Caenorhabditis elegans: one gene and its partner. The protein of the gene in region 2 purifies or fractionates together with the protein of the main gene of each other region. This does not show direct contact. Each region holds a gene or a part of one and is shown on either strand. Other genes may lie near its edges.

The links. Proteins that work in one complex are often made in the same cells at the same time.
Region 1: the proteins of pqm-1 (region 2) and ceh-60 purify together in Caenorhabditis elegans (affinity purification with western blotting; one study listed by BioGRID). This does not show direct contact.

What each region holds. Positions count from the first base shown.
Region 1 is NC_003284.9:6,526,841-6,531,703, reverse strand, and holds the start of ceh-60 (Homeobox protein ceh-60), read left to right. Parts: upstream 1-1,557; 5' UTR 1,558-1,618; coding exon 1,619-1,686; intron 1,687-2,298; coding exon 2,299-2,369; intron 2,370-2,568; coding exon 2,569-2,636; intron 2,637-3,150; coding exon 3,151-3,294; intron 3,295-3,432; coding exon 3,433-3,507; intron 3,508-4,049; coding exon 4,050-4,165; intron 4,166-4,646; coding exon 4,647-4,782; intron 4,783-4,863. UniProt on the Caenorhabditis elegans protein: Probable transcription regulator which binds to DNA, repressing genes involved in longevity and stress, while activating genes involved in reproduction, such as the vitellogenins.
Region 2 is NC_003280.10:11,149,654-11,154,691, forward strand, and holds pqm-1 (Zinc finger transcription factor pqm-1), read right to left. Parts: upstream 2,943-5,038; 5' UTR 2,912-2,942; coding exon 2,797-2,911; intron 2,650-2,796; coding exon 2,329-2,649; intron 2,282-2,328; coding exon 2,149-2,281; intron 2,007-2,148; coding exon 1,903-2,006; intron 1,573-1,902; coding exon 1,491-1,572; intron 1,039-1,490; coding exon 906-1,038; 3' UTR 738-905; downstream 1-737. Other genes in the region: arrd-6 (Arrestin C-terminal-like domain-containing protein), read left to right, coding at 301-474. UniProt on the Caenorhabditis elegans protein: Zinc finger transcription factor which acts as both a transcriptional activator and repressor. Binds to the promoters of genes that contain the 5'-CTTATCA-3' DNA consensus sequence in their regulatory region.

The sequences.
Region 1 (4,863 bases), on a different chromosome or scaffold from region 2:
TTTTGATTGTTCAAACGTTTTTATTTTTCCCTTTATTTTAAACTGAATTATAACAACAATAATTAGTAATTCATAAAAACAATTTGAACTGAATACTAGCTCAACAACATCTGTAATTAGTGGAAATTTCTGTTTTAGCGACATAGTAATTTATAACAACGAGTGTTGTTCCGTTTTAAGTTGTATGACTTTTAAAAGTTGACAACATGCAAAAAAAGATTAATAACCATTTTTATAGTGCTGAAAAGACTAAATGTCTTGATAAAACTTCTCAAAATACTTTTGAATTTTTTTGAGATAAAAAAGGGTTAATTATTGTTTAACTACTTACAGTGTTAAAATAAGAATATTTTGAACACAAATGTAAAATTGAAGAAATAATTGTTTGTTTTATGTGAAGCATCTGATGGAGTCATAACTAACTACTGTAAAGTTCAAGACGATCAAATAGTGGCCTTGCAAAACTAATGGTATTATCCTCACTTCAGCTAGCTGATCCATTTAACTGATAGTCATAAAAACATGAGCAAGTGTATGATATATTACAAAATATAAAAAATGTGCTCGCATGTTTTTCAGTTGTGAAAACATAATCCTTGATGATATTTACCGTTGAGTAATAAGCCAAGAGAAAGAACAAGTGTAATGGTTTGGCATTTTACTACACAATCAAAGTTCTACTACGATTTCGGATTCCCATGGGTACCTTGTGTGCTGTTGTACTTTCATTGTATTATCTAGTTTTTATACACAAGTTTTGAAACATCAGGTAGATATGCAACAAAAAAACTATCCAAATGCAATACTTAAATTGAGTTTCGGTGATTGGCATGTAATTGAAAAGAAATCGCAACATTTGGGGAATGGTGTTATCAGTGTACATGGTGCACTTGAGCATGGAAGAAAAAACCACTAGAACCGTTCTTTTATCAGTTGAACGTGGTTGTTCAATTATTTTTTCCGTCGCTTTCCATATCGTTTTCTCTTTGAAATTTTCCAATTTTTCCTGATTTCGTAATATATGACAATTAAAATCATCTAATGAGATTAGTGAAGTGTTTGCTATGACACAAATTTGGGTTCGGTTTCTTTTTGTGTAGAAAGGGAAAAGGAAGAGGTGTCACGTAATAAGTCAACATTTATCCTTATGAATTTGAGCGACAGAAAAGGCGGCCCAAATGACAGTAATCCAATAATAATGTTTGCTCTAACAATATCAATAACCCAAATCTACGAGCTACTAGTGGTAGTCTTACTGTACAGTTATTTTCATTTATTGAACACATTTTTGGATTTTTTAATTTTATGTATAAAATTTTTTTGTAACATTTAGTAAAACATAAAATAATAAATAAAACATTTCTATGCATATTAACAAGTAAACTTGACAGGATTTTTTTTTCAAATTCATATCTTAGTAATGATCTATAAAAAATGATGAAATTAAACTCAGTTTTTATCAAATTACACCGATGAATAGAAAAGAAAAAACCTAGACAGAATTCGTACCACCTATTTTAGTTTTTTTTTTTCGTGATTTTTCAAAATTGTATTTAGACACATCACAGCTCTGTGTTGTTGCGTTCACAACCGAGTGCATCACACCGATCTTTGAGAGATGGATAATCTTATTAAGCAGCTCCAAATGAGCGTCTCAAGTGAAAACGTCGACAGGAATTTTATTGAGTGAGTTAAAAAAAAAACTTTTGAGCAGCAAAACAGGATTTAAAAATAAATTGACCTCTATGAAAAGAACACTGTTTAATAGATGTTGGCATGACCTATTTTTCAAAAATGTACATCTAAACGGTATTAGATAGGAATAAACTTCTAAGAAAAAAAGCAAAAAAGAAGAAAAATTTAGTTGGGTTTAGGCAAATCTTGATTGTTTGATATTCTATAGTTTGAATGTTTTCATAAGTGATATAAATGACTAATACATATGATCTGCAAAACATCCAGATCAGAGATTCGTCTAGGCATCGTAAGAAGTGTAGTTTGTGATTGAAGAAAATTTATAGAAATGAGAGAACCTGATTCAGATACCGATTTTTATATTTCTTATAAACTGGGTCGGGAGGTGAATCTAAACAGGTCATCTTCCTAGAAAATTTTAGAAAAACATCAGGGAATAGGTGAGACAGTTTTCAGTTCGAGTCATCTTACAAATGATGTGACATATGAATCATAACAGTAGATGCTGATTAAGTTTACACCCCTAGAGAACTATTAGTGAAGTGATGATCATTATTTTTTGTTACCGCTGAAATAGTAAAAACTTATATTAAAAAATTGCAGAAAATGCATCGAAATGAATCCCTGTCGCCGGATGCTTCACGAAGTGCTACTTGAAAGAAAAGACATTTTACGTAAGCAAAGAATGAAAAATCAAAAAGTTATGCAGATTTAGAAAAGGTGAAGGTCACATCCGGTGGTCTTTTACAGAATCAAAAGTTTATGACTATGATATAGCGAAAAGACTCTCTAGTTTAAACAAATTGAAGTTTCAAAAATAATAAAAAAACGGAAGTATGAAATGGATCAGAAATTAACACATTTACATTTCAGGCTCTCGGATGAACTTGGTTGCGTTGTATGATACAGATGAACAATCCTCCGAAATTGAGGAAATTCTCGTGAGTGAATAAGTTTTTAAAGTTACATGAAATAGTTTGTGACATTTTTCAATTGAAAGATGAAGCTTATTCTATGTTGAAAGGATTTACACTAATACTACGGAGCTAAAATAACCATATAGTATAGTAAAAGATTCAAACGATTTTGGCAAATTTTTAATTCAAGTCAAAAAATCGTGAAATCGCTGTTTTCACAAATTTTTTGGAAGTTGTCATTCATTTAAACACCAGTTTCTTTCAGTTCTACGGTCTATGAACTATTGTGTTTGCAATTTTTATATTCCAACACTGTTTGGGTTTGAAAAAACGACACTATTTCAAATTTCTCGATAAGTGGTGCAATCTCACTTTTTGACCCGACATAAAAAATTATCAGAATTTTTTTGAGAAGATTTAGTATGATATTCGGTCATTTCAGCGCCACAAACTGGTTTAAAATTATTACCCCATTGGCTGTACTCTTTTAAAACAAATCATTAGAACTGAAAAATTAGACAAGCAACAAAAATTGTAGGCTCAATTCGAAAATCCTACATTTCCGTTGGAAGAGGTCAACACTGAGAAAGACGAGGAATGGCAACCCTTAGAAAGGAAATATTTGGACGGAATTAACCGTATAAAAGAAGACACTATCATGAAACAAATTCAACTGGACAAGGTGATATTTCATATTTTCAAAAAAACAAACTGATGCGGTAGGCGTAACAAAATTTGACATTTACTCAAGCTTGTGAGAAGCTTTAAATCCGATTTTTGATTTGTAAATACTTTTCAAATTTAATTCAGAATATTTCAGGATATGGAAAAAGCCCTGACTAATAGCGAAGAAGTACTCAGAAATCATCGCGATTTTAGACCGATCGACGAAAAGGTAAAATAATTATATTAATTTGTAGAAGAGATATCGAGATTATTATTTGAGATTAGAGAGCAAAAAAAAAATAACAAAACACAAAACTGAAGTTGAAAAGTCAGGCGAACGAATAGAAGAATAGAAAACAACCAGCTTATTAATTTGTTGTTTGTGAATTTTACACTTTTGAATGACTTTTTCTGAACAAAAGTCAGTTTTTCTGAATCCTACTGTAATCCAAAAAAAAGAAAACTAATCCATTTTGGTTTTTCTTCAATTTTTGAAACGATCGAGATCATCACTTGTTGAGATTTAACGCAAGATCAGATCAAATTTTTTTCATTATAAATTTGTTTTTTTTTAAGTTAGGATTATAATTTTACGTGCAAAATTCAATATTCACAATTTCCCGTAAAAAACAAACACAAACCATGATAAATATGTAGAAACCCGTACAAATGTCACATATAATACACAAAATATGAACTTTTTTAAATGCTAACAAAGTCAATGTGTTTTCATTAGGTCCAAATTCACGAAGATTATTGAAAATGTTTCAGGATTTCTCTAACATTCGGCAAAGCATTTCCAAAAGGTTCGAGCATTCGAAAAATAACATTCGCGGGGAGGCAGCAACTAAAATTCTAGTTCTCCGGAGGGAGATCGAGCAGCAGGGGTGAGTTTTTGGATATTCCACCATTATTACATATATTACTATCATATCTCATTACCTAACATTTTAATTTGCAAGTAGACATTACGCTAGTTGACATTAATCCGAAATTAGAATAACTTCCGTGAGACTACTTGTTCCGTCCCTTGTGAGGTCTAGGTTTTGCAAGACACTCAACATACAAAATCATAAATTCAAAAAAAAAATGATGTGGAATACGTTCTCAAATCATGTTGCTTTTTAATAAACTTCGTTGATATTCCAGACAGATGAACACTGAAATGAAAAAGTTCATCGGCTTAGGAACTAAACATCTGAAATTCGTAACAATAATAAACAATTTGAAAACTGAGACAAACTTAATTCTTCACATGATTTGGATTCATATTCAAAACAACGCAGATCACATTTTGTCGGATTTCGTTTGAAACTAACTTTAACGCATGGATCATACAAATTGTTGCTGAAACCGATTTTGTTTCAGACGCAAGCGCCGGAACTTTGACAAAAACACGACGGACATTTTGCAAAACTGGTTCCACGATCATCGTCAAAATCCTTACCCGTCCGACCAGGAAAAGGCGGAATTAGCAAAACAGTGTAATATCAAAATTTCACAGGTAAGATCAGTTGTACGATTAGAAAGGTGTGTGATGCTCAATTTTGTTTTATAAAAAACAATGTCTGAATCAGACTAAATT
Region 2 (5,038 bases):
AAATGTTTAATTAAAAGTTTCCAGCTTTATAACTTTGTTCGTATCAAAAATTCATGCCTCATGTTTTGTTTTAAAACGTACATGACAACTCAAGTCACCGAAAAATGTCCTTTTGTGACTACAGAACCTCGGAATTTTTCTTTATTTTTTACTTTATTTTTAGTTTAACTATCTATCACAGCTCCCAACTTTGCTTATTTTTGAAGATTTCCAGTCAATTTTATCTCAAAACAGCTGCTTATTCCGAATTCCAAAAAATATATATCTAACACTGCCACACACCTAACCGACTTATTTCAGTTCACACGAATCGCCGACTCCAGCTTGGCGCTGGTAACCGAACCAAACGGATCCCGACGTCGAAGTATTCTGGTCGCATCGAATCCATGTTTGGCAATGAGAGATGAGTCAATGGACGAGAAGCTGATGATGACAAATGGTTGTAATTCTGAGGGTGATCCTCTTGTAGCATAATTTTAGAAATCGTTTCCACTTTTTTTGGAAATCTTTTCAAACCCCATATGATCCCAATGATTGATACTTTTGTTGTGATATTATGTTTTCTTGAAGATTTTCAAGTTTTACCGGAACTTTCTGTTTCGAAAGTTATTGACCAGAAAAAATTTCGAAACATCGAGAAAACATCTACTTTTTTGTGTATTATTATTATTCCTTATTCTCTTTTTTTCAACTTCTTCCTCCACTTAACTGATAAAAAATTAATCGAAACGACAAATAAGGGTGAAAATATTTGGAGACAGCAGAAATGACGTGGACAACAAGCAATCAAGTTCAACAATGAAATACCAAAAGTAAATTTTTTAAAGAGAAAATGCCTTCACACTAGTATATACATATAGCGATGTGATATGTACAATCAAACATTTTTTGGTGGGAAATTTAAATTACAAAGTACAGGATCGTGGCTTGGTTTCTATCGGGTCAACTTCGGTTTCAGCCGGCTCGATTTCCATGGCTTCATCACAAATTGTAGAGGTTCTTTCACGAATTGCTTCATTGATATTTGATAAGCCATCTCTGTAAGAAATAAATAATTTAGAAAATGTTTCTTAAAGGTATTGGTTCTCCATTGTGTGCTCAGAAAATCCAGCTTTCGTGCCTACTAAGCGACCTACGATTGCCTCGCCTCAAGCGACGGGAAGGTAGACCTAGGTAGTATTACTGGTAAGTTAGGTCTGCCTTGTAGGTAAGCATTCAGGTACGCCTTATAGTCACTCAGGCACGTTTGGCAGACAACCATACCTCGTGGGTAGCCATGTAGGTAGGCATTCAGGCATGCTTCGCAAGTAGGCAGGCAATTAGATTTTTCAAACCCAAAATTTTGCAATTCAACATTCCCTAGATCTAATAGTTCCAGTCCCTCATATTCATTTCCAGAAACATTAACACGAATGTATTAAAGAACGGCACCCCTCTCCTTATCAGTGATAAGACACCCCATGACCCAGTGTACCCGTCCAAAAACTCACTTGATTTGATGCCTCCTGATATGTTTCTCGAGCATCGCCGGACTCTTTGACACGTGACGACAGTGCGGACATTTTCGAGAACCTGTAACCGATTGATTTTTATCAAATATTTATCAAATTATTCCCAGAAAAACGGGAGAATCGAATCGAAAGTGAGCGTTTTCCTTGCGAGAGTTATCAGCGAATGGTTTGCACGAAAATGGAATGGAATTCGGTTTTTTTCGAGGAAAAGAGCAGAGACTGGTGACGTACTACTGTACTTTGAAGTTTTCTAAATTACTGGAATCTCTTGAAAGTTCAATAAGAAGATCTTCTACTATGTAAAACTGCTAAGCAGATTTTTCCAAATTTTCTTAAATTTTTCCAAGAATTCATCTTTATAATCCAAGAGATTTGATGTACTTCGTCATACCTTGGTCGATACTCTCTGGAAGTGGAATTCCGTGCCGATAGTTCTTGTGGAAATGAATGTATCGAGCCTCGCGAGTTGTGAACTGACAGTTGGGAACGTTGCATCTGAAATGATAGATCCTTTAATATTATCTGTTGTAACTTTACAGTAAGCTTGCAGCCGACAGTAGAAAAGCGCCGATCAATGTCGGCTGCTTGTTGCTCTGCACCTTTAAATGGGAGGCATAACTTTCCTTCCCTCACTTACTTGATTGGAGGATTCCTATGGTAGATGGTAACGTGGTAAGACACCGAGTTGTATCTACCATAAACCTTTCGACAAACAGTACACATGTAACCGTTCTCCGTCTGTTCGATATACTTCTTGTTGCGACACCAACCTGAAAAAAGATAAGGGTCAAAGGGTCAAGACCTTTCATATACCAACCTTCTTTATCATTATTTGGAACAATCATGTCTCCATTGTTATCAAGTGTTATGGATGGTGGATCCTCTGTACTATCCATTGAAACACTCTTCAGCAGATCACCTCGTCGCATTTTTGGATTGCAGGAAGGTCCTTCATCATCTCCCATGTTGGCGATACTAGCTAATACATTTGGTGTGTTAAAGCTCATCGCGATGAATTGTTGAATTATTTCTTGACTGATTGCAGGGTTCAGATGGAGGAATGGGTTCAAGGGTAGGTTGGGGACTGGCAGAGGAATCTGGTTTTGCATCAGGTAGGGGTTCGGCTGCATTAGGTTTACTGAAAAATGATGAATGAATTATTAGAATAAAATTGTGATGTTTCGGTTTTTCGTTTATTCTGACTGAGTAATTACGGAGTAGCTATGTTTTTTGGTTATTTACCAAACTATGCACATTTAAAATCCTCTACAGTAATCTACAGTACCTGTGGATGCACCAATATTGTTAAGCATATCTTGAATCGTCGGTAATTTAGGCATAGTAGTCGGCGGTGAACTGGTTGCCGGCGGACTGCCGAAATCATTATTCAAAAACGACATTCGGAAATGAGACTTGCTGAGAGCTATGCCTGCAAAATTGAGGGTTGTTTTCCGAAAATAATGAGAGACGGAAGAAGTTACAAGAAACTTTTTTTTTGGGACATTTTGGGAGAGCAATTGGAGAGCACTATCAGTTTGCGAAACGAGGGTTTACGAGAATTAGCTGGAAAAGTGTAGATATCCGCATTAGAACAAGAACACAGCACTCTAAATGCAGAAGCTGATGAGAGTAGAGATTGAATTTTTTTTCGGGGATTTGGGAATGGAAATTGGGAAATTCTACTAGGATAGAAGTTGAACCATTTGATCTAATTAGGATGGGAAGTGGGTTTGAAAGTTATTTTTAATGATTTCGTCTAATAATAATGACCGCGAGGTATATAGATGCCCAAAGTTCAAAAACAATTTGAGAATACTTTACTGATTAGGGATTTTATTAAACCTTAAAAGCATACTGCAAAAATTCTGAAACGTGGGTACTCTACATTGTTGCGAATACGTGAAACTGTAAAAAAAGGCAAGGTAGTTTTTAGACAAGCGCCAAGGCCGGGCAGGGAAGTTTAACTCAAATATAAATACTCACAAACCCAAGAACTAATAAAACTGAAACAATTGCCCAAAAGCAACTAATAAAGATGACGAAAAGTTGGGCGGCGAATTTCGTCAGTCGTGGAAAGCGCTGCTCGAATCGTTATCAGTTGACAACGTTTCACTTTCTTCGAAAACTTTTGGTTTGTATACGAAATTGGTGGAAACGCGCGTTATCACCGAGAGTGGGTGTATCTCTGAAACCAGCTGACTAGAGACTTGTAGAAGCTACTCCACTTTGATAGGTTAAATTTTGGTTTATTTTACAGATATCAAAAAAATTTAACTTCGACTTGTAGAAGAAGGAGCATCTTACACTTTGAAAAAAATAGATAAAAAACCAAAGCATTCTAAAAAAAAGAAACACGGTATTTGATAAATTGGACTTATCATATTTCGTGCATTAATATTGCACCCGACTACTCAACTTTGAAATGTTATATTATCTCAGTTCATCTGAAAGATATCAATAAATAACCAACTACAAAACAGTAAAAAGGAAAAAGGAATTAACAAATATTTTGACAGTTGACAATTTTTATATAGAACTGACGGCAATTGAGATATAAGCTGCCAAAGTTGAACTGTGGAGTGCAATACTACAATCAATCTCTCCTATCAATTTAAAACTAGCATTATTTTATATCTATATTAAAAACAGAACAAGAACCTATCAAACAGTGAATCATTATTCAAAAATTTCAGAGCATTTTCCCTGACAACCGCTTGTTCAAGCACCGAAATATTTGACCGGAAGCTTTCTTAAAAATGTCAAATATTGAATCACAAGACACTTATTTTAAAATTCTCTTAAAAACAGTGAAAGTGATGAAATTGTAAAGAAAGAGGAAAAATCACCGAAAGAGTGATACTTATCAACTCTTATAGGTTGTCATACTCTTATCAGGTTTCTTTCCTCGAGGCAGAGAAGTGAGCCCACATTAAAAAAGGGGCGGGACGCTTCGTGGACACTGTAGCGTCCGTCCGGAAAGAGTTGGTATGCGGGAATTTTCGATGTTTTTCGAAGTTTTGTTATTTTGTTTTTTAGGAAGGTTATGGTAGCTTCCATTAAAGGGTGTGGTTCAATAGCAAAAAACAACTATAATACAAAAAATGCTCAAAAACCGGAAATGGTGAGGGTTCAGGCCGTTATCTTTAGTTGGAAAAGAAAACGTTCACTAAAACCTATTACGTTATTCTATATTTTTATGTGATGTCGAATTTTAAACCATGGAAATAGATAAAGAATAATTCATTTCCTGTCGACAGTTGCCAAATTGTAAACGATAAATTTTCGTTCCCAAATCCATCAGGAAAATCGACGAGTTGAATAAGCGGAGCCATCTAGGAAATTATCCTGAAAATATACCTAGTTATAGCCCTGAAAAAAATTATTCAACAACTGAAATTTGTAATGCGGCAGCCTTAAGTTGACTTCGTTCATTGTTATTAGATTCCAGGTTTTAACAGAACTTCTACAGTACCCCTACCTCTGCAGTAATCTAGTAGTATTCCACTTCATCGCATTTTGTACTCCTT